4 linked regions of the Arabidopsis thaliana genome follow. The protein of the gene in region 1 interacts with the protein of each later gene in a pairwise test. Each region holds a gene or a part of one and is shown on either strand. Other genes may lie near its edges. The genes, in order: AT2G24020, EXL2, GIP2 and AT5G09480.

The links.
Region 2: the proteins of AT2G24020 (region 1) and EXL2 interact in a two-hybrid assay, tested with the Arabidopsis thaliana proteins (one large-scale study listed by BioGRID).
Region 3: the proteins of AT2G24020 (region 1) and GIP2 interact in a two-hybrid assay, tested with the Arabidopsis thaliana proteins (one large-scale study listed by BioGRID).
Region 4: the proteins of AT2G24020 (region 1) and AT5G09480 interact in a two-hybrid assay, tested with the Arabidopsis thaliana proteins (one large-scale study listed by BioGRID).

What each region holds. Positions count from the first base shown.
Region 1 is NC_003071.7:10,216,722-10,221,780, reverse strand, and holds AT2G24020 (Putative BCR, YbaB family COG0718), read left to right. Parts: upstream 1-2,312; 5' UTR 2,313-2,511; coding exon 2,512-2,572; intron 2,573-2,795; coding exon 2,796-2,938; intron 2,939-3,075; coding exon 3,076-3,176; intron 3,177-3,267; coding exon 3,268-3,307; intron 3,308-3,529; coding exon 3,530-3,601; intron 3,602-3,688; coding exon 3,689-3,745; intron 3,746-3,837; coding exon 3,838-3,912; 3' UTR 3,913-4,080; downstream 4,081-5,059. Other genes in the region: AT2G24030 (zinc ion binding / nucleic acid binding protein), read left to right, coding at 148-563, 653-787, 897-1,598; scpl23 (serine carboxypeptidase-like 23), read right to left, coding at 4,239-4,385, 4,458-4,563, 4,631-5,059. UniProt on the Arabidopsis thaliana protein: Participates with ALB4 in thylakoid protein targeting. May function with specific subset of thylakoidal proteins. Binds to DNA and alters its conformation. May be involved in regulation of gene expression, nucleoid organization and DNA protection.
Region 2 is NC_003076.8:25,701,598-25,706,531, reverse strand, and holds EXL2 (EXORDIUM like 2), read right to left. Parts: upstream 2,884-4,934; 5' UTR 2,553-2,883; coding exon 1,635-2,552; 3' UTR 1,193-1,634; downstream 1-1,192. UniProt on the Arabidopsis thaliana protein: May play a role in a brassinosteroid-dependent regulation of growth and development.
Region 3 is NC_003070.9:27,742,180-27,746,620, reverse strand, and holds GIP2 (mitotic-spindle organizing 1B-like protein (DUF3743)), read right to left. Parts: upstream 1,973-4,441; 5' UTR 1,808-1,972; exon of another isoform or gene 1,609-1,807; 5' UTR 1,603-1,608; coding exon 1,399-1,602; 3' UTR 1,192-1,398; downstream 1-1,191. Other genes in the region: SARD1 (Calmodulin binding protein-like protein), read left to right, coding at 1-61, 144-332, 456-552, 661-860; AT1G73780 (Bifunctional inhibitor/lipid-transfer protein/seed storage 2S albumin superfamily protein), read right to left, coding at 2,453-2,749; AT1G73770 (coiled-coil protein), read right to left, coding at 3,665-4,038, 4,205-4,406. UniProt on the Arabidopsis thaliana protein: Required for gamma-tubulin complex recruitment to the microtubule organizing centers (MTOCs). During mitosis, modulates gamma-tubulin complex localization, spindle stability and chromosomal segregation. Necessary for gametophyte development and embryogenesis.
Region 4 is NC_003076.8:2,949,648-2,953,942, forward strand, and holds AT5G09480 (hydroxyproline-rich glycoprotein family protein), read right to left. Parts: upstream 2,055-4,295; 5' UTR 1,969-2,054; coding exon 1,534-1,968; 3' UTR 1,215-1,533; downstream 1-1,214. Other genes in the region: DIC3 (dicarboxylate carrier 3), read right to left, coding at 1-180, 440-866; AT5G09490 (Ribosomal protein S19 family protein), read right to left, coding at 2,731-2,979, 3,143-3,200, 3,288-3,436, 3,534-3,536.

The sequences.
Region 1 (5,059 bases):
TGAGACCTGTTTAGTTTCTGTAACGTAAATTTTGAGTGTTTGTTTTTTCATGTTTTGATTTCACGAAATTGAAATCTGTGTGAAAAATCTGAAGTTTATGAATCTTCTCATGTCGAAATGTGAAGTGATTATGAACCTTTTTCGTAGGACAACAAAGTGAGGATCAAGTTCGGGAAGCGATCAAACGAGAAATTGAGAAAGAACAAATCCGTCAAGAGATCATTATCGCAGAAGCAGCGAGAAAACGAGAGCTTATAGCTGAGGTTTTACAAGAGATGGCTATCGAGAGAGAAATGGCGATACGACGAGTTTCAGACACGGAGATGTCTCTAGAGGAAAAGCTAACTATGTGGATCAATCAAAGGAAGCTTCCAAATCAAAATCAGAATCAGTTCAACAACTTTTTCAGACAGAAGTATAGTTACATTGATTCTCTGATCAACACAGGCTCTTACAACAGTCTACTTACATCACCAATGATGCAATTGCCTCAACTTCAGCAAATGTCTGAAGCTACCGGAACATCAATGTTGGAGTCTAATAAAGAGAATTTGATTGTATTGGTGAGTTCTTTAAGTAATGGTAAACATAAATGATAGAGTATATATAAGCCTTTGTTTCATATGTGTTCTCTTTGATTTCTCTATTGCAGAATAGAGCTGATATTATAGGAGCTAAGCCTAAAGCAGACAGTGTTGGTACCATGCAATTGCCTAAACTTCAGCAAATGCCTGAGGCTACAGGAACATCAGTTTTGGAGTCTAACAAAGAGCAGTTTATTGTATTGGTAAGTGTTTTACTACGAGTGTGATATCTCATCTTTTCTATCCACGTACTTTCCTTACTTGCTTATAACAAATCCTGACCATATGTGTTCTCTTTGATTACTATTGCAGGCTAGAGCTGATCCTGTAGGAGAAAAGCGTAAAGCAGAGGATATTCAAACTGGTTTGAACGAAGATCTTCAAGTGAAAAGGCCGAAAGCAAAAGAATCAGAAGCAAAGGCGATGTCTTTGGAAACCGGAGAAATAGTCTCTTCGAAGGTTCCTTGTTCAGGGAAACTTGGCAGTGGAAAGAAAGCAGAAGGTAAGCTAAGAACTAACCAGAAGTTTTGGTGTGAGATTTGTAAAGTTGGGACCTATTGTCAAATAGTCATGAGGGATCATGAGTTAGGTAAAAAGCATAAGGCTGCTGTTACACAACAGAATGAGACACCTGAAGCTGCTTCAACCTCCTTATCCCCTGCTTCCGTTACAGCACCGCAACCAGAAGCCATTAGAGTATGTGAAAATGCTAATCCGCAGGGTCAAAAAGTAGATGAAATTGCGGCGAAAGAAACAACGGGAAAGAAGACAAAAGGTGAGAAGAAAAAGAAGGAAACGGTTTGGTGCAAAACTTGTAATATTCAGACGAATTCTGAGCAGACGATGAGGAATCATACGCTTGGGAAAAAACACATGGCTTTGCTTGAGAAACAGCAGAATAAACTCATTACAGTCCCAGTGAGATCTCTGAATGCTGATCCAGGACAGAAAGAATCAGTATCTCTAGCAATGGATGATACACAAGGTAAGGTTCATTGCTTGGAGAAGTCATAGAAGATTCTTTGTAACTTTGTTAGATTATTTTATATCAACTTTTTTTACCAAAAAAACCTTTGTTAGGTCATGACAATATACCATGAGGAATCAGAGATTGAATTCATGAATTTATTTTTATTTTTTCTTATGCAATGTGACAGTAGGAGATTTGCATGATGTTTTTTTTGTTGTGAGATTGAGAATCATGAGAATAATAACCAATGCCATTAGAGAGACCAGAATAAGTGTATAGATCATGATTGCATTTTGGAGTGTGTGTTGTCTTATGCTTTTATCATATGTTTTACAAACTTACAACTGTACAAGCAGAGTATGTTTGTTTGGACATGATACGATGATAAATGTCTTCTTTCAGGAGAGGCCCAAAATGGTTTGCCTAGAGGTATTTCAAATGTTTGGGGTGAGTCTCTCTATACATAGAGGGTATATAGACAACTCCACAATCAATCAATAGTTCTTCTCGCAATACAGCTCCACAAGACCACAACACATATGACCATGTCCCATACATAGAACCACGAAAGATGGTTCTATTGTAGCATGTTTTTTTTTTTTTTTGGTTTAATGAAGCATGTTACAATCTCTGATAAAGTTTCATCTATACTAGAAATTGAATTTTTCGAAAATCGAATCAATATCTGATGTAAGAACATTTTACGTTTGATCACTCAATTTCGTACTGAAAGTGTATAAACTTTAAAGTTGCGACTTCTTCACTAGAAAAGAATGGTACAAAAACAATCTAAGCTCAAAAAAAGAGTTAAAGTGACGTGGCGCAAAATCATTGGTTAAAAGCTTCAACAAACACAGAAGCTACGAACAAGTTGCCCGGAAAAAATTAGCTTCCGGTTTTATCTTCTCGAATTTCAGAAAAAAAGCCCTTCTCTAATATCTCTCTACTCGTACAACAATGGCGTCGATGGCTGCAACCACCAATTTCACCAAATCTATGCTCTTTCCATTCTCTCATGGTTAGTCTCTCCTAAATCCCTACTTCTATCTCTCGCTTAAGGTTTCGTGACACTGGATTTTGAGTCTTTATGTATCTGTCGTACATTAGGTTTCATCTGAATTTGCTTAATCTTTCGTAATTAGACTTTTCTATTCCATAATTGGAGGAATTGAAGCGTAATTTTGTATTTATAAGTGTTTTTGGGATTGAAATGGGCTTTAGTAATTTTTTGGTTTGAATAGTTTCAGGAAATGCGAGCTTGAATTCGCAGAGAAGAACATGGCCAAAGCAGTACAAGTCTAAAAATGGTTACAGGTCTCTTCGAGTGAATGGATTATTTGGAGGTGGAAACAAAGATAATAACAGTGAAGATGGACAATCAAAGGTTGGTACATTACATTGGTTTTTTCAAATATCAAACAGATTCTGCAATAGGTGAACATTTTAAGTTAGGCTTCATGTTGTAAAGATTCAAAGTTTATGATTTTGGAACTAATGAAGTTTGTGTGTGATCTTTCCTAGGCAGGAATATTTGGTAATATGCAGAATATGTATGAGACTGTGAAGAAAGCTCAAATGGTTGTTCAAGTGGAAGCTGTACGTGTTCAAAAAGAGTTAGCTGCGTAAGTCCGGCACATTTATCATACAAAATTTGAGGAAGTTTTCTTCTATGAGTAATGAGTTTTGCATGTTGGTTTTGTTCCAATTTCGCAGCGCAGAATTTGATGGTTATTGTGCAGGCGAGCTTGTCAAGGTCAGTTTAGAGCTTGTTTTGGCCTTAAGATAGATCAATGCACATAATAGATCAGTGAAGTATTAACTAACGTTTACTTGATGATGTAAGAACTGTGTTTTCTGATTTGTTAGTCTTTGGATGATTTGGCAAGAACTCCACTCTAGAATCTCAAAACTTTGTTTAGTCTTTATTGTTTCTGTTACAAAGTCTGATGACCTAAACCTTATGAATTTGTGTCAGGTTACGTTATCAGGTAACCAGCAACCAATCCGTACTGATATTACCGAGGCAGCAATGGAACTAGGTTCCGAAGTGAGTAACCATACGTACCTTGTTATGGAACAGTCAAAGCTAATTCATCAGTTTCTCTTGTTGATGTTGTGTGTTTTCCTTTGGCAGAAACTATCACAACTTGTCACAGAAGCATACAAGGACGCACACGCCAAGAGTGTGGTGGTATAGCAATTTGCAGACCATTTATCACAATGCAACTAAAGTATTTGTTTCTATCCATTTCTTCTAATTGAACTTTGTGAATTTTTTCACAGGCTATGAAAGAGAGAATGAGTGACCTTGCGCAGAGCTTAGGAATGCCACCGGGTCTCAGCGAAGGAATGAAGTAAGAAGCTGTTTTTGTTGTTTCATTTCAACTTTCAGGTATGAGAGGTTCGGCTTTTTTTGTTTGTTTGTATATCAGTCAGGCAGAAGCAAAGAGCTTTGTACTCTACTCTTATGGAATTATATATAAAAGATTTGAAACTTTTGGTTTTCTGCAATTTTATTCCCAAGGTATCAACACAATTGTTCTAGTATCAACATATATCTTCTTCGAATACAAGAATGCTTTTAGTGTCTTATGAAATCAAGTTGATTTGAAACATAAAAATTTCAAAAGAAAACACCGAGTTAACTCGGGTTTTGGAGGGAGCCTTCTATCTTATGTGTGTGACTAATAAGATCTTGGAAGCTCTTTGCCGGCCAAGAACGATCTTAAAAGAGTGAGAGCACGCTCGGGTTGCAACACCGGCACTTCGTGGCCCGCCCCTCTTATCGTCGCAAAGGTAAGCCCCTCATATACCTCTGTCCATCCTCCCACCTGACACCACCACCATGAGAAATCACTAGCTCTGCATAATAAGAATAGAACCACGAATTTGATGAAAATTACCTGCTTTTCGGAGTACCAAGGGTACCAGGGAGTTTTCACCGGAAGATTGAGTTTACTGAGGGCAAGTCGAGTCCCAGTCACTGGAACCACTGCGTCTGTATCGCCACTACATCAACAAAATGTGGTTAAAGGACACGAAAGGTACTTTACTTGCAGCTAGTTTCATGGTTTACCTAAAGACCCAGATCCTCAAACCAGCGGCAGTGAGTTCCTTGTATATCGGCAACATTGAAAACTCGGAATCTTTCCAGTTGTTATTCACAACCATATTGCACAATGTCCACTTATAAGGAATGGAGGTAAGATTAGCGTGCATAGCTCGTTGCACATCAGGACGGTTGTAATATATCTCAGCGTAGCTTTCGGTACAAGGGTCGTACTCGTATTCCTCTACCAAAAGCCGTCCATGCAGGAACTTGGTCTGGTTGGTTTGATGTACACATGAGGGTGAGTAGATGCTGTACCCATTGACTTTGCCAAACTCTCTGTAGGCGAAGTAGAGTGCCCAATTGCACTTGTCCGAGGTTTTATCCGCAGTGAAGCTGCAGTGTTTGAGGATAGACTTGTAAGTTTTGTCAGAGATCATTGCGTGTGACCACGCA
Region 2 (4,934 bases), on another chromosome or scaffold:
AAGCCCATAAGCCCAATTATAATTTTGGTCACTACGTCTGTTCTAGTGGCCATATTTGATCAGATAATTAGAAGCCCAATACAGATAAGGTATACAGCTTTTATGCAGATAAGCTGGCGTATATACCTATTGCTGCATACCTCCTTCTTTTGGCCAACATTGAAGTTGAATAGAAACTAACTAGAAAGGCTTTCTTTCACCCCCGAAGCAAACAAAAGCCTTTGTTAATTTTCATGTTGAATTCAATCATATAGGTGAGCCAATTTTTCGGTTATTAAGTTTTTAAATATACGAATAACCTTGTACTTTTTCCAAAATACATAGAGACAACATGAACTATTTCAGGTACTTTAAAATTTATGATCAAAATAAATTTTCATTTGGATATAAATTAATATATTCCATAAGAATTTGGAAATTTCAAATTTACACAAAACATCCTTGTAAAAAGTGTATGCTTACATAATTTTCTAATCATTAATACACACAGCCACGAATTTTATTTAAAATCTATTATATATGTGTCGTAACCCTAAAAGATATAACAAAGTGTATTTTATTTAGCATTATCCTCAATTCGTCACTAGCTTATTTATTTCCACATATAGCCGAAAGTCCGGATCCACTACAACTTAATCAGGTTTATTATTATACAGAATGCATGATAAATTATGTCATGATCAAAATCAGTATATATAAGCTACATACTGATAAATAAAATAAAAGGCATATAAATGATTGATTGAATCTAGATGAGCCTTTTCGATACTTAAATGTTTCAAAGTTTTCTTTGGCATAAAGAACGGAGGCAAGGGAGAAGAACTTCTTCACCAACCCCACTGACCATTTTCAGAAAATACTTAATACCTAAATTACTAAAATTTGTAGGAATTTCGGTGATTAAATTCACTAGATTACTTTTTCACCTGACAATAATAAATATTACCCCCATTTTGAGGTATTTTGATTGCTTTAAGAATTCGGAAGTTTCCAAATTTGAATGTTTAGTTATTTGTTGTTACCTAACAAATAAAGATAGATTTGTTTAGTTCAAAGAGAACAAACTTTAGTCGCCATTAAAACAGTTAAGGATAGATTTGTAGTTACAGATAACATATTATCATGCATAAAAAAATTCAAAAGTTACTAATAATATGAAACGAGTACTTACAAAGCAATCAATTTGGTCTCCTAGGCCCCAACACATCTTCCTTTCTTTAGTTATCAATTTTATTACAAAATTAAATACAACAAATAACATTATTATCCTCTATACCCACTAACATTTTTTAAAAAGGTCAGATACCTTTAAATAAATTAATTAGTACTAATACAAGCTTTGATCATTCTTGCTGCAAAACCGAATGCATTATTAAATTTGATAAAGTAGAAACAAAATGATTTTTTATTATTTTATATGCATTCTTCACATTTCCGAGTACAGTTTTTACACGTCATTACAAAACGACAAAAAGCAAAGAGAGAGCCCTATCCACAATCCAAACCCGAGACCCAAACCCGAAAGATTTTTTTATACACACGCTCGCGTGCAACTTGATTTTGACTACACATGCCGTCTAGATCTCGTCATCGCTCTCACTACTATGCCACGTGTCTTACTCACATCCCTTGGATCAAACCAGAGTCTTGCACGTCGAACTCTGCGGATCCCACATCGCCGGCAATAGATATTTCCTACCGGCGAGTCCACGAGCGTTGTAACTAGACCCGGTTGTTTTGTCAACAAGTACCCGACCCGCGTAACCCGGATAAGAACCTGACCCGAATATACCAGGACAAGCAGACACAGCTTCAAGCGGTGCAGTTGGTGGGCCTTGGTAATATCCGTTATTAAACGGATTCGTCACGGTGTTAGCTAGAAGTGTGGCAAGGTTTATAATCATTCCGTCAACTCCAACGTCACCGTTAGGCGCTACTAACGGCGGCGTTTGTGGTCCGTAAATCGGCTGGTGAAACGGCCACGCGCAATATCCAGGGCACTGCGTCTCGGAGTTCCCGACCCATACGTAAGCCGCGCCGTTAGCTGCGCGACGGGGATTCGAACCGGAGGATCCGTGAGTCCCGCACCGGCTCATACAGAATCTTTCGACGGTAACATCTTTCGCCGTTAGAACGACGGTTATGGAACGGAGACCGCCGTTAAGTTTGGTGGATAAAGCACGGAGGTAAGGATTTTTGAGAGATTTTCCGAGAGGATAGTTCTCGAGTAGAAGCTGTTTCCCGACGACGAGTGTTGAAGAGCCACCTTTGTATTTCTCCGTCGTCTTCCACCACGAAGCAACGGAAGGAACTGCGGCGGAAGATGCAACGTCTTTGGAGTTTAGCGAGTGGATGAAATCGACGATTACGGACCGTTGGATCGGTGTGAATTTCCCGTACCATACGAGATTGACTGTGATGTTACCTTTCAACAGAACTCCGTTGTGGTATTTCATAACAAGCGGCTGCTCCTCGACCAACGCGGCGGCGGAGAAACCAGCGGTGGCGAAAAAGAGAGTGAGGAAGATGGCAAAACGGTAATTAGAAGCCATTGAGAAGGGTAGTTATATCAGATTGAAGAGATATAGGAGAGGTTTTGATTTGGGGTTTATAAAGATATACAGAGGTATTTATACCAGAGATGTTGTTTTGAAACCGAGAGAGGAGTGTGACAGCTGTAGTGGCTAAGGTGTCAATATCAAAGATTGCCACGTGGAGAGATGTGAGTGGGTAGGGAAGGGTGTTTGACAGCCTGTAAGGTTCTTATAGTGTGACGTGGTTTAAGTCTTCATAACGTGTATTAAATTTAAGTGATGCTTAGCCGATAAATTTGTTATCAAACAAAGAAAATAAAATTAGTGTAAGATATTTTGCCATGCAGAGAGACAGATCCATTTGTAAAAGAAGATTAATAAGTGAAAAAAGAAACTTTAAAAGTAGTGTTTAGTAAGATAGCTTTATTCTCTGAATGCAGTAGTTTTCTTTTAATCTTTGAAAGTCTATTAATACAAACCGAGTAAGTTTAAATGCAAAACCCACTTTAAATTTTAATGCAAGAAATTGATTATGAAATTCAGCTAATAGCTACTAGTATTAAAATGTAGTTATTAGATCAACTGGTTTTTTAAAGAAATTGGTTGTAGTTGTTTTGGTTTTGAATACCAAGATATACATTGATTCAACACATATATTATCAGAAACCAGTTTGATTTGACTATATATTTTGCCATTGTTTCAATTACACATATCTTTCCCTTGTTTCAATATAAACATAAATCTCATCTACTCTTATATATTGCCATTCATGATTAACCATAGACTTATATACTCTTTATAAAGATCTGTATTAGTTGAGTAACTATTTTTCCGTCTAGCATATAAACACATCCTATACACATTTTTATTTTCAGTCACCTGCCAACCATGAAATTTTAATATCACTTTACACTATGCCCAAAAAAAACAAAAAAAACGTCGTCACTTTAACTCGTTCTCTGACTCCGCCTCGCAATCTCACATCATGAGGCATGGTATTGGACATGCTCTATACGCAAATACATTGAGCAGTAATTGTTTGACCATATAATAGAAGAAAAGTCCATTACTCGTTCTAATAATACGGTTCTGATACCAAAAAAAAGAATTCTATATATTAAGAAATGAATTAAAGAGATTTGGGATTATTTAGGGAAGGTTCCTTCCTTTCCTTCCATAGAGGCGCCACTGATTTTAAGAAAGGTACACAGAGAGGTTGATGATACCGTGTGTGTGCCATAATCAACTTTACTTGGGGGAGGTCCCTTTAGGTCTCCGTGGGGACCACAGATTCATACGTATTTTACTCTAGAACAGTGTGTGTATTTATGTATAGTTATATACTTATAGCTTAAGGTGTATGTATATAAATATACGGGTGCACTCGAGTAGTTAGTTCAGTCGTGTAGTAAGCAAGATACGCCTCGACGTAGCGTACGAACCACGCTCTTACAGTCCATTATTGCCTTTTACATCTTCAGGGTCCACTCTTGCTTTATTTTGAAAAACTCTTTTTGGTTTGATTTAACAAAAAAGTTATACGAAAAGTATATATTCCACACTAAGAAAAAAAAACACGTTTTATTTTGTATTACCATCTTTTTTGGCATAAAGAAGATTTTTATGTTTTCTTCTATAGTGGAGGAGCTCACATAACTAAAAATAAAAATAAAAAAAATAGAAAATCAAACGAGGGTATGTGATGTGAGGCCCATATACAAGTACTGTTTATTAAAACTTAAAAGAAGGATAAGTCACGTGTCAGACGTACTCCGTAGTAATAGCATAATAGGATTCGTAGTAATCCACTTTAGCTCTCTCTCTGCCTCTACAAAATATATCTTCTCACGTGAAATTTTTCTACTCTAGTTATGTGATAAATGAATAGCAAAAGTTACAATATTGTTACTTGGATGAGTTTACTTTGAAGAGTGACACATGAGTTTACTTTGTCGTGTATATACTTGGATGGATGCACCGGTCACTTTTGGTAGGATAGAACCACACACTTTGATCATCATTTAGCTTGGCTCTTGATTCTTTAAAAATATAATTGCGCTTTGAACGTAAAAACAATTTCGTATAATTAGGTCGAGTAAAAACCTTATATATCGTTATACTTGACTTGTTAACATTTGAAACACACAATATTGAGTTCGAGCGTCGGGGTTAACTATGCGTACGTCGAATTGAAAAAAAAAAGAAGAAGTAATTTTCGATTTTAGGAACATCGCCAATGGTGGACTTAGCTTACGATAAACTTGCTCTAAAAAGAATGTCCACTTTATATTAATGATTAGTTTAGTCGAATGATTTAGTGAATACAGTATCATTTTATATTAAAGGAGAGCTTTAAAATTGTGAGAGGTTAATTATGTTTCGTATCACGATTAACAAAA
Region 3 (4,441 bases), on another chromosome or scaffold:
CATCAACACTGTCCAAGACTTTTTGAAACTATCCGTCGTTGACGTCGACGAACTCCGTCAGGTTTAAATTCTTAGCTTATTTGACCCCTAAATTTTTATTATTATTAGAGAACTAATAGGAATAGGGGTTTGTTGATGTACAGATTCTGGGGCCTGGAATGTCTGATAGAAAGTGGGAAGTAACATTGAAACATGCTAGAGAGTGTATTTTGGGAAATAAGTTATACATTTCTAGAGGACCGAATTTTTTCATGATTTTGAATCCGATATGCGAAGTTATGAAAGCACTTATCGATGGTCATGTTCTCTCTAGTCAAGAATCCCTCAACCAGGTATTGAATGGTCATTTTCTCTCTATTAAAGAAGTTAAGCAATTATTGATAGCTCAATGATTGTTTATTAGTTAGAAACTGTATTTATTTTTTTAATTCATCTATGGTAATGTTTTGTTGCAGCCCTACGTTAAGAACTTAGTTCGAGATGCTTACTCAAAGGGGAACTTTTTAGAAGTGGGCGAACGAACAGCGAACGAGGCTGCTCTTTTGACACAAGGTATTACTTTAAAATAGTGTCAACATAAACACCATTTCAGTTTTTCTATAATTGCGAAACATCGTTGATTATATAGTATGTTACAACAATGTAATTTTGATTATATAGGTGATGATTTGGACCAACAATATGCTGCGAGCCACTACCAAAACATCGAAATCGATAAATCATATCAACAAAACGGATATGTTCAAGAGAGATCTACAAACAATTTGGAGATAGTAAACGAAGGGTATATAACGACTCCAGCGGAATTCAATATATGTTTCACCGGATCTTCGTCTCAAAATCATATAAACCCTTTCTAAATCCTCATCTACGTTAGTATTGGAAGACACGCCATAGTGCCTTGGCCGAGATTGGACTCTTTCTAAATAAGGGTTTAAACTTTAAACTACTACTACGTACATGATGGTAAAACATGTATTCTAGATCTGCTGATCATGATTGTACATAAAAGTGTGAAGTTTAGAGTTATATTTTTAGTTGGATGGTATACCACTTGTTCACGTTTTCACAGTTGTATGAAAACGTTGTTTTTACCATTCACGTTCAACAAATTTTTACGTTTTTACGTTTTAGAAAAATTGATTCCGCTGTATATGTACGTACTTGATGAAAGTATTGACTAAAAAAAGAAATCAAGAATATGAGGGTAACTTTGTGATTTACTTAAAGAAAGCCTCTCAAAAGGATTGAGTGGGGATGACTCAAATACTTATTACCAATTTGTCTCTGAAACTCTCTATTCAATTACCTTACCAACCCTAATTTACACATCAATAGCATAATGAAATTGAAACTTAGAAAACAAGCATGAATGATACTATTTGATTAGGCATCTTCTTAATCAACCGTAGTTGTTGTTGTAGCAGAATCCCTACGAAGCTCCTTGACGAGAGTAGCGAGAGCCTCAGGGTTAAGACCAATATCGCAAAGAGCTATAAGAACAGACAAAGTATGTCGATCAAGACCTGTCTCCAAGATGTTCGACATCCGAAACACCAGCTCCAGTGACTCTCTCGCTGTTTCAGCTGCTTCCTGATTCATAATACTCTGAAACCACCAAACATCATCCAGAACAAAAAAATATCAATTTCGGAAACGATTCAATTTACATATGAATATCTACTCTATTCTTGTACGGATCTCCATGGATGTACAGAGAATGGAAACCCTTAAAGTGGAAATCGGAGACTTGCCGACGGATCAAGAGATACATTAGATCGGAAAAAGGTTAAGGAACAAAACGAACCGATTAATCGACGGAGAAAACGAACGGCGTCGAGTTTGAGAGAGAAGAAGTGAGATCTTAGAGCTTGAGATAATTGAGAGAAACGATTCTCGATCTCGTGATCGAAGAAGAAGAGGCGAAAATGGGCCAACAATTAGAATTTAGAAATCTAGGGTTGTTTTTTTTAAGAAAATAAACCTTTGGCCGGTTCAGAGTATATTTACTGGTTCATATCAAATCGGTCGGTTAAATAAAATCCGCCGGTTTTAATACAATCGAAGTCTCTGAACTAGTTTTAATCAAGGGATTCTTTTTTGTCGGAATCAAGGGATTCAAGACCTTGTTATGATTAATTCGGCCAAAATTGACAAAATTGCATCCAAATTTAGAGACTTATTTTGTAGTGATATCCTTGAAATTGGAACTTTTAACTTTTAAGTAGCTTATGTTAGTCGAATTATCCGAAATTTCTTAAAAACATATCAATGTGAATATGTGATGATCAAGATTTATTCCTTGACGACAAACACATTAATGGAAAGCCAAACTCAAAAGTAAGAAACTTGAAGTAGAAAAACCATCGATGATGAGCGAACAGAACAGAACACCTTTTTTGGTCTTGAAAGCAAGAAACAGAACATCGAAAACTAGAACGAAATACTGGGACTAGCATTTCGGATACGGACAATGACAATCAGTGGCGATTATTTTGGCGTTTGGGGAGTTAAGGAAAGATTTGAAGTTAGGGTTCTTCAAGTACTGGCAGATACAATGCTGTTGCTCCTTCACCTTGCTGCAACACAGATCCGATGGCTCAGACCCTTTCATTATGGTCTCCAAGCATGGACTCAGCTGCGCAGGATTACATGGATCTACTGCAGCGACTCTGTTTTCTTGGGCAACAATTAAAATGAGAAGGATTGTACAAGTGAAAAACACTGGTTTTGTGCAAGAACCCTTCATTGTCTCACTAAGTTATAGAAAGAAGAAGAAGATATTTGGTTTGGAGTTTAAAGTGGGTTTCTCTCGTTCTATTTATAGAAGAAAATGTCTTTGAGTGAGTCACGTTACTCAAACGAGAGTTTGTGGTTGCAGGAGATCTCGATATGTCTAAAAGAGATTAACTTTTTTCTAAAAGGCTCGGACAAAGCATAAAAACACCTAGGCACCATTTTGGAGAAGTTATGAAACCACGTGTAACCAAAATAGATGTCAGCTTTCGGCTACCCCCAGTGAAGGTATATGAATTTGTTGACACTTAAACAAAGTAATGAGAACACCTTCATAATTATATATTTTACTTCATTACTATTGTACTAAGCACAAAATATGACTTAAATTTCTAATTATATTCAAAAGGCAGAACTTACAGCCAACATGGACCAAAAACTGATCTGTTTCCATTCACTAGGCAGTTGCTTCCTTTCAAAATCTTCAATGTAGTGCATAAGTCTGTGGCCCAAAACCAAGACCAATTAGAGTTCATTGATCACAATGTTAAACATATATCAGGCCATGAAAGAATAAAAGAAGATAAGCTGCAGTATATATTAAGTTTACTCAGACACTTTTCTAGAATCCATATTCTCCATGTGGTATCAGCCACCAAGGTTTTCATACTTAGCACATAATGAATAGGATAAACAAAGCCCAAGACACATGATTAAGCAAGCAATCACACGCTTAAAGATTAAATAGTCTCTAACAAGCACAGTGTTAGAAAATCTCTAAAGTACTAAATAATTTGTATATCCATTTAATCAAGTTATACAAGTAGAAAATGCAAAATGTGACAAAAAAATAAGAGACTGTAAAATACAGAAGAAAATGTTCTCTTTGCGAGTACCGTATGGTGCGAAATCCAAAACTTACCATGTGTTAATCACTTTCAGAGTAAGAATAAGACGAGCGATTAGCTTTCAGGGCATCAGTCTTAATATTGACATCAGACAAGCCAACATCATTGAAACCATCAAACTCTACATCGGAATCAGACGAATCACCATCTCTCAAGTCATCACTCTCAATATCTGAATCAGACGAATCACCATGGCCATCACTCTCAATATCAGAGTCAATATCGTCAACCTTATGTGCATCGTTAACTGGATACTTACGCACCACATCCATCACTTCATCATCACTATCATCGTGCTTCCCTGATAACTTCCTAATCATCAATGCCTCAAATAAATCAGGTATAGCATCCTCATTTCCATCATCCAAAAAGCTTTGAATTCTTTTTTTCAGCTCTGAAATACCAATTGGATTAAGAAAGTAAGCAAAATTATAATCTTTACATGAAAAATTATGAGCTGATCAGCTAACTCTGTCATTGCAAAATTCTCTTCCTTTTCATTCAAAACTGTACATTTTCTTGAGAACCAAACAAAAGAAGTTGAGTTGAAGAAATGTCACCTTCTTTAGAAAGAACCTCTTCAGTTCTGAAACCACGCGACGAGTCGGACTCGGAAGAGAAGAAGACGAACCGGGAAATAGCTCGTTCGAAGAGAGGAACAACAACACGAGGGTTGTTGATTCTCAAATGGCGGAAATTTGCGGGTGAGTGAAGGATATTTCGAGCCAGTAAACTGGGAACTCTCTGCAGAAATCGTCTCATGGGATTCGCCTCAAGACTAGGGTTTATCAGAGGAT
Region 4 (4,295 bases), on another chromosome or scaffold:
CTTGCCTTGCGATCCTGTCGATCGCGTCCACGACGCTCTTGTAGTTTCTGCGACGGTTTAACGGCAAGCTTCCGTCGGCTTGCATTCTCACCATCGCCACGTCAGCAGGATTCCCGACGACTGATCCAACGGCTCCTGCGATGAGTCCAGCTGTGATCTTGGTTACCAATGGGAAGTTACCTGTTTGGAATTATCGTTTACGTTTAATTTATTTGATCTTTTGTGTAATAATATGGAAAAAATTCGAACCAAACAAACCGAAACTGTTTAAGATCGAAACCGAACCAGCATTTGTTTATAAATCCATTGGTTTTCTTATTTAAAACCAATAACCGAGAACTGTAAACGACTTTTAGTGTAATCAAACCAAACCAAACCGAATAAAAACCAAAATTATTTTTTGAGTAATATTGTTGCCGATCGAGTTTAGTATTATTACCGGTGAGTTGATCAGTCCACCTTCGTTTAAGAAAGTCGTATATACCCATACGGGTGGCAGAGTAAAGCATCTGACGGAGGATGGTGGCGGAGACGCCGGAGAAGAGAGCGGCGGGTCCTTCGGTTTTGACAATGTGTGCCCCTACGGCGAAAGGGGTCATGACGGAGCGCGTGGAAGAAGACGGCGCGTGAATGTGTAAGGGTAATAAGGAAATGCTGCCGATGAGAGAGTCAAGAGCGAAAACGGGTCGGTAAGGTTTCACGGGAAGATTATGATCAAGGCTAAGATTAGGGTTAGGGTTTTGGTCGAGCGAGAAAGAATGTTCGCCTTGAAGCTGCATACGGACTTTGATGAGGTCTAATGGGTGAGTCAGAGCTCCGGCGATGATTGCGGCGATGCCACCTTCAAGAAATGGTTTGAAGCCCATTGAAACGATTACCGGAGGATTTTATTGTAAGGAGAGAATGTTTTGAGGAATGGGAATTGAAAGAAAAGAAGAGTTTGGGAGATAATAGATCTTTTGTAATAAAATGTTTGGAGAAGAAGAAATGAAATTGAACAAGTTGGAATGGAAGAAGACAAACTACTTGAGAAGAAAATAATGCAACGAGTAGTTGTGTTTGTGTACTAGTCCTGAATTACGGGTTCCAGCTTTTAGCACAATGTTTCTTGTTTTGTCTTGATGCACACCTTGGCATTACAGAAAAAGAATAATTGAAGCTAGAGGAATAAACCAATATTGGTCAATGAAACCAATGTTCTATATCTAACATCTACTCATAAAATTTGATGTTTCATTAAGACGAACGTCATATACACCGACAATTGACACATTATATCTTTAATTAAATATCTTACATTACATGATTTACTTAAGAGTTATATATATATTTTTTGTACCACAAGAGATATACATATTACAAGAGAGAATTAGTACGAGATTATATCAGGAGCGTTTAGAGACTCAATCATGACATGGTGAGGACTCTAATACTGTAATACATATGTAATCTCTCATCTTTAACCAAACACAAACCAAAACTATAATTGCATATATAGTTTATATAATCATTTGACGTTCTTTACCCATTGATCTATGGCTTCTTGTTAGAAACGTTAACCTCTTCAACTGTTGATGTAGGTTTTGTCTTTTCAGTCTTTGGCAAACCGCCATTAACACCGGGAATAGGAAAGCTCGGAAACCATGATGGAAATTCAAATGTTGACCCTTCTGGCTCTTCTGGTTCTTCGGGCTCTTCAGGAACTTCGGGTTCTCCAGGAACCTCAGGCTCTTCTGGAATCTCAGGCTCTTCTGGAATCTCAGGCTCCTCCGGTGAGGGCAGCTCCGGCTCTTCTGGAACTTCCGGCTCCTCAGGTTCTGTGTATTCTGGAACCTTTTTGACCTCTTCTTGCACCAGAGAATGACTTACTCTAGCAGCAAAACTAGGTGTAGGGAACAAGAGGGACGATGAAATAAAGACAAGGAACAAGACCGAGGAGACGAGAATAGGAAGGCGAACATTAGTCATTGTGATATTCTTGAATCGAAACCAACTTAGAAAGATGAGTTAAACAATGTTGTGAGTATAGAGAGTTTGTGTTTTGCTATATATTGTTTACAGAATGGTTTCTTAAATAATATTGAGATGAGAGAGATCTTAGAATGTAGATTCATAAGAGTCAAAAAAATTTGGTGAGAAGATCTCACTGCACGATTGTGAGAATGTGATGTTAGTCTTCAACAAACTCACCTATATTTCATTATACGTCTTAGTTGTATAACCCCTTTTAAGTTTACTTTCGAACCTAATATATATACTTGTTTTAAAGCTATTGATACTAAACATTACAAGAAATCTTAAAGTTAGCAATACCTATATTGTATTTTACGTCTCATATGCATCACCCCTTCTTTACCTGTGAACATTCATTATTAATACATTTACATATGATTTTATTATTTTATCTTGTAACCGTTTCAAGTGAAAAGTGTATTTTTACGCATTATGTAGATTATTAAAATATATAAGGATCAAAATCAAATAATTTTAAGACTTATAAAATAAAATAAAAAATAAGACTGAGATAAAAAAAAAAAAAAATTAAAGACTAACTCAAGTCCAAACTCATAATGGTATTAAGTATTATAGAGAAAATCACCAAGAATTTTTTTTACGATAATAAGAAAAGTTTAAAGACACTAGAGTGTCAGAGACATGATGATAAGAAGATAGATTTAGATGAGCAAAACAAAAGAAATTGTAAAAGCAGAATGAAGTCTTGAAATGGCTTCACTTGAGAGGGATAAACCTAGAGGAGTGTGTAGCACCATGACCGGGCTTGCCGTGCCTAACGGGTTTGTAAGTGATTGAGAATTCCGCAAGGTAATGTCCAATCATCTCCGGTTTGATCTCGATTTGGTTAAAAGTCTTTCCATTGTACACACCAATGATGCTTCCAATCATTTCAGGCATAATCACCATGTTCCTTAGATGGGTTCTCACTACTTCGGGCTTCTCACCAGCTGGTGCATCTAGTTTCTGGTTTAAAGTAAATTAGAGACTAGTGTTATTATAATAATCAAAGCCAACCAATCAAAAGGCAGATCCTAACTAAAATTATTGTTATGTTGGGAGATCACAGACTAATAACAACTATGACACAATAACAACAGAGATTTATATTGGAAAGTTAGAGTTTTACCGCTTTGCGCAATTTCTTGATGAGAGCCATAGGCTTCCTCGTTAATCCTCTACTCATCCTACAAAATAATCAACATAATTAAACAAAACCAATCATTTAAAACAAGAGTTATATAATCTACCAAAATTTTTGGTGGGATCAAAACCTTCTTCTTATACGGGAAGGGAAGAGCTCGACAAGATCATCAGTGGGCATGTCAAGAAGAGCATCGAGATCGACTCCTTTGAAGGAAAACTTTTTGAACGTTCTCTTCTTCGCAAGAGCAGCTGCGGAAACATCTGGTTCGACTTCAGCCTACGGATTTCGACAGAGAAATTTAAGACCATGATGGGTTCAAGGATCTAACAATCGAATAATTAAGGTTTAAAGAGATGGAGATCAAGAAACTAACCATTGTTCTTGGTTTGAGAAGCCGGGAAAGTGACTGCAACTAGGGTTTTGCTATGGAGATACGACAAGAGACATAACTTGGCACCCAATATATATATATATATATATATATATACACAGATGTATTATAGATCCTACAGTGTTTCTGTTTAAGGAAACGTCAATAAATATTTACCAATTATTACATTATTGTCTTTCTAAAATAACATATGAATCAATATTTAAATATTTTTCTTCCCTTATAATAGAAAAACTTCTTTTTTTCTTACCTTATAAAAACTGATAATTAAAACATATAAATACACAATTTTCCCCCAAAAAATCAAAACTTAATTATTAGTTTAATGTAAAATTAACTGATTTAGGATAAAATTGGTCATACATTTTGTATTTATCTTCGAAATACAAGGAAATTATGTACAGATATCTTATAGAAATAGATATATAGTTTGTGAATTTCAAAAAAGAAATTGAAATTTTCTTCTATTTATAAATAGGGTCATTGTGTTATTTTTTATTTTCAATATACAACCATCGATCTGCAATACAAAGAAAAAAAACTAAGCAATCCAGATATTGATTTTTTTTTTTTTTTGAAGTTAATATATGCAGTTTAAAAATGCAATTGAAAGATATCTATCTATAAATCCTGAATTATTTTCTAAATTTAAAGTAATACTCAATAAACAGAGCAAAGTTTAATAGATTATAAATAAAAAGCTCTGTATTATTTGAAGGCATGAACAAGAGTTTGAACAAAATC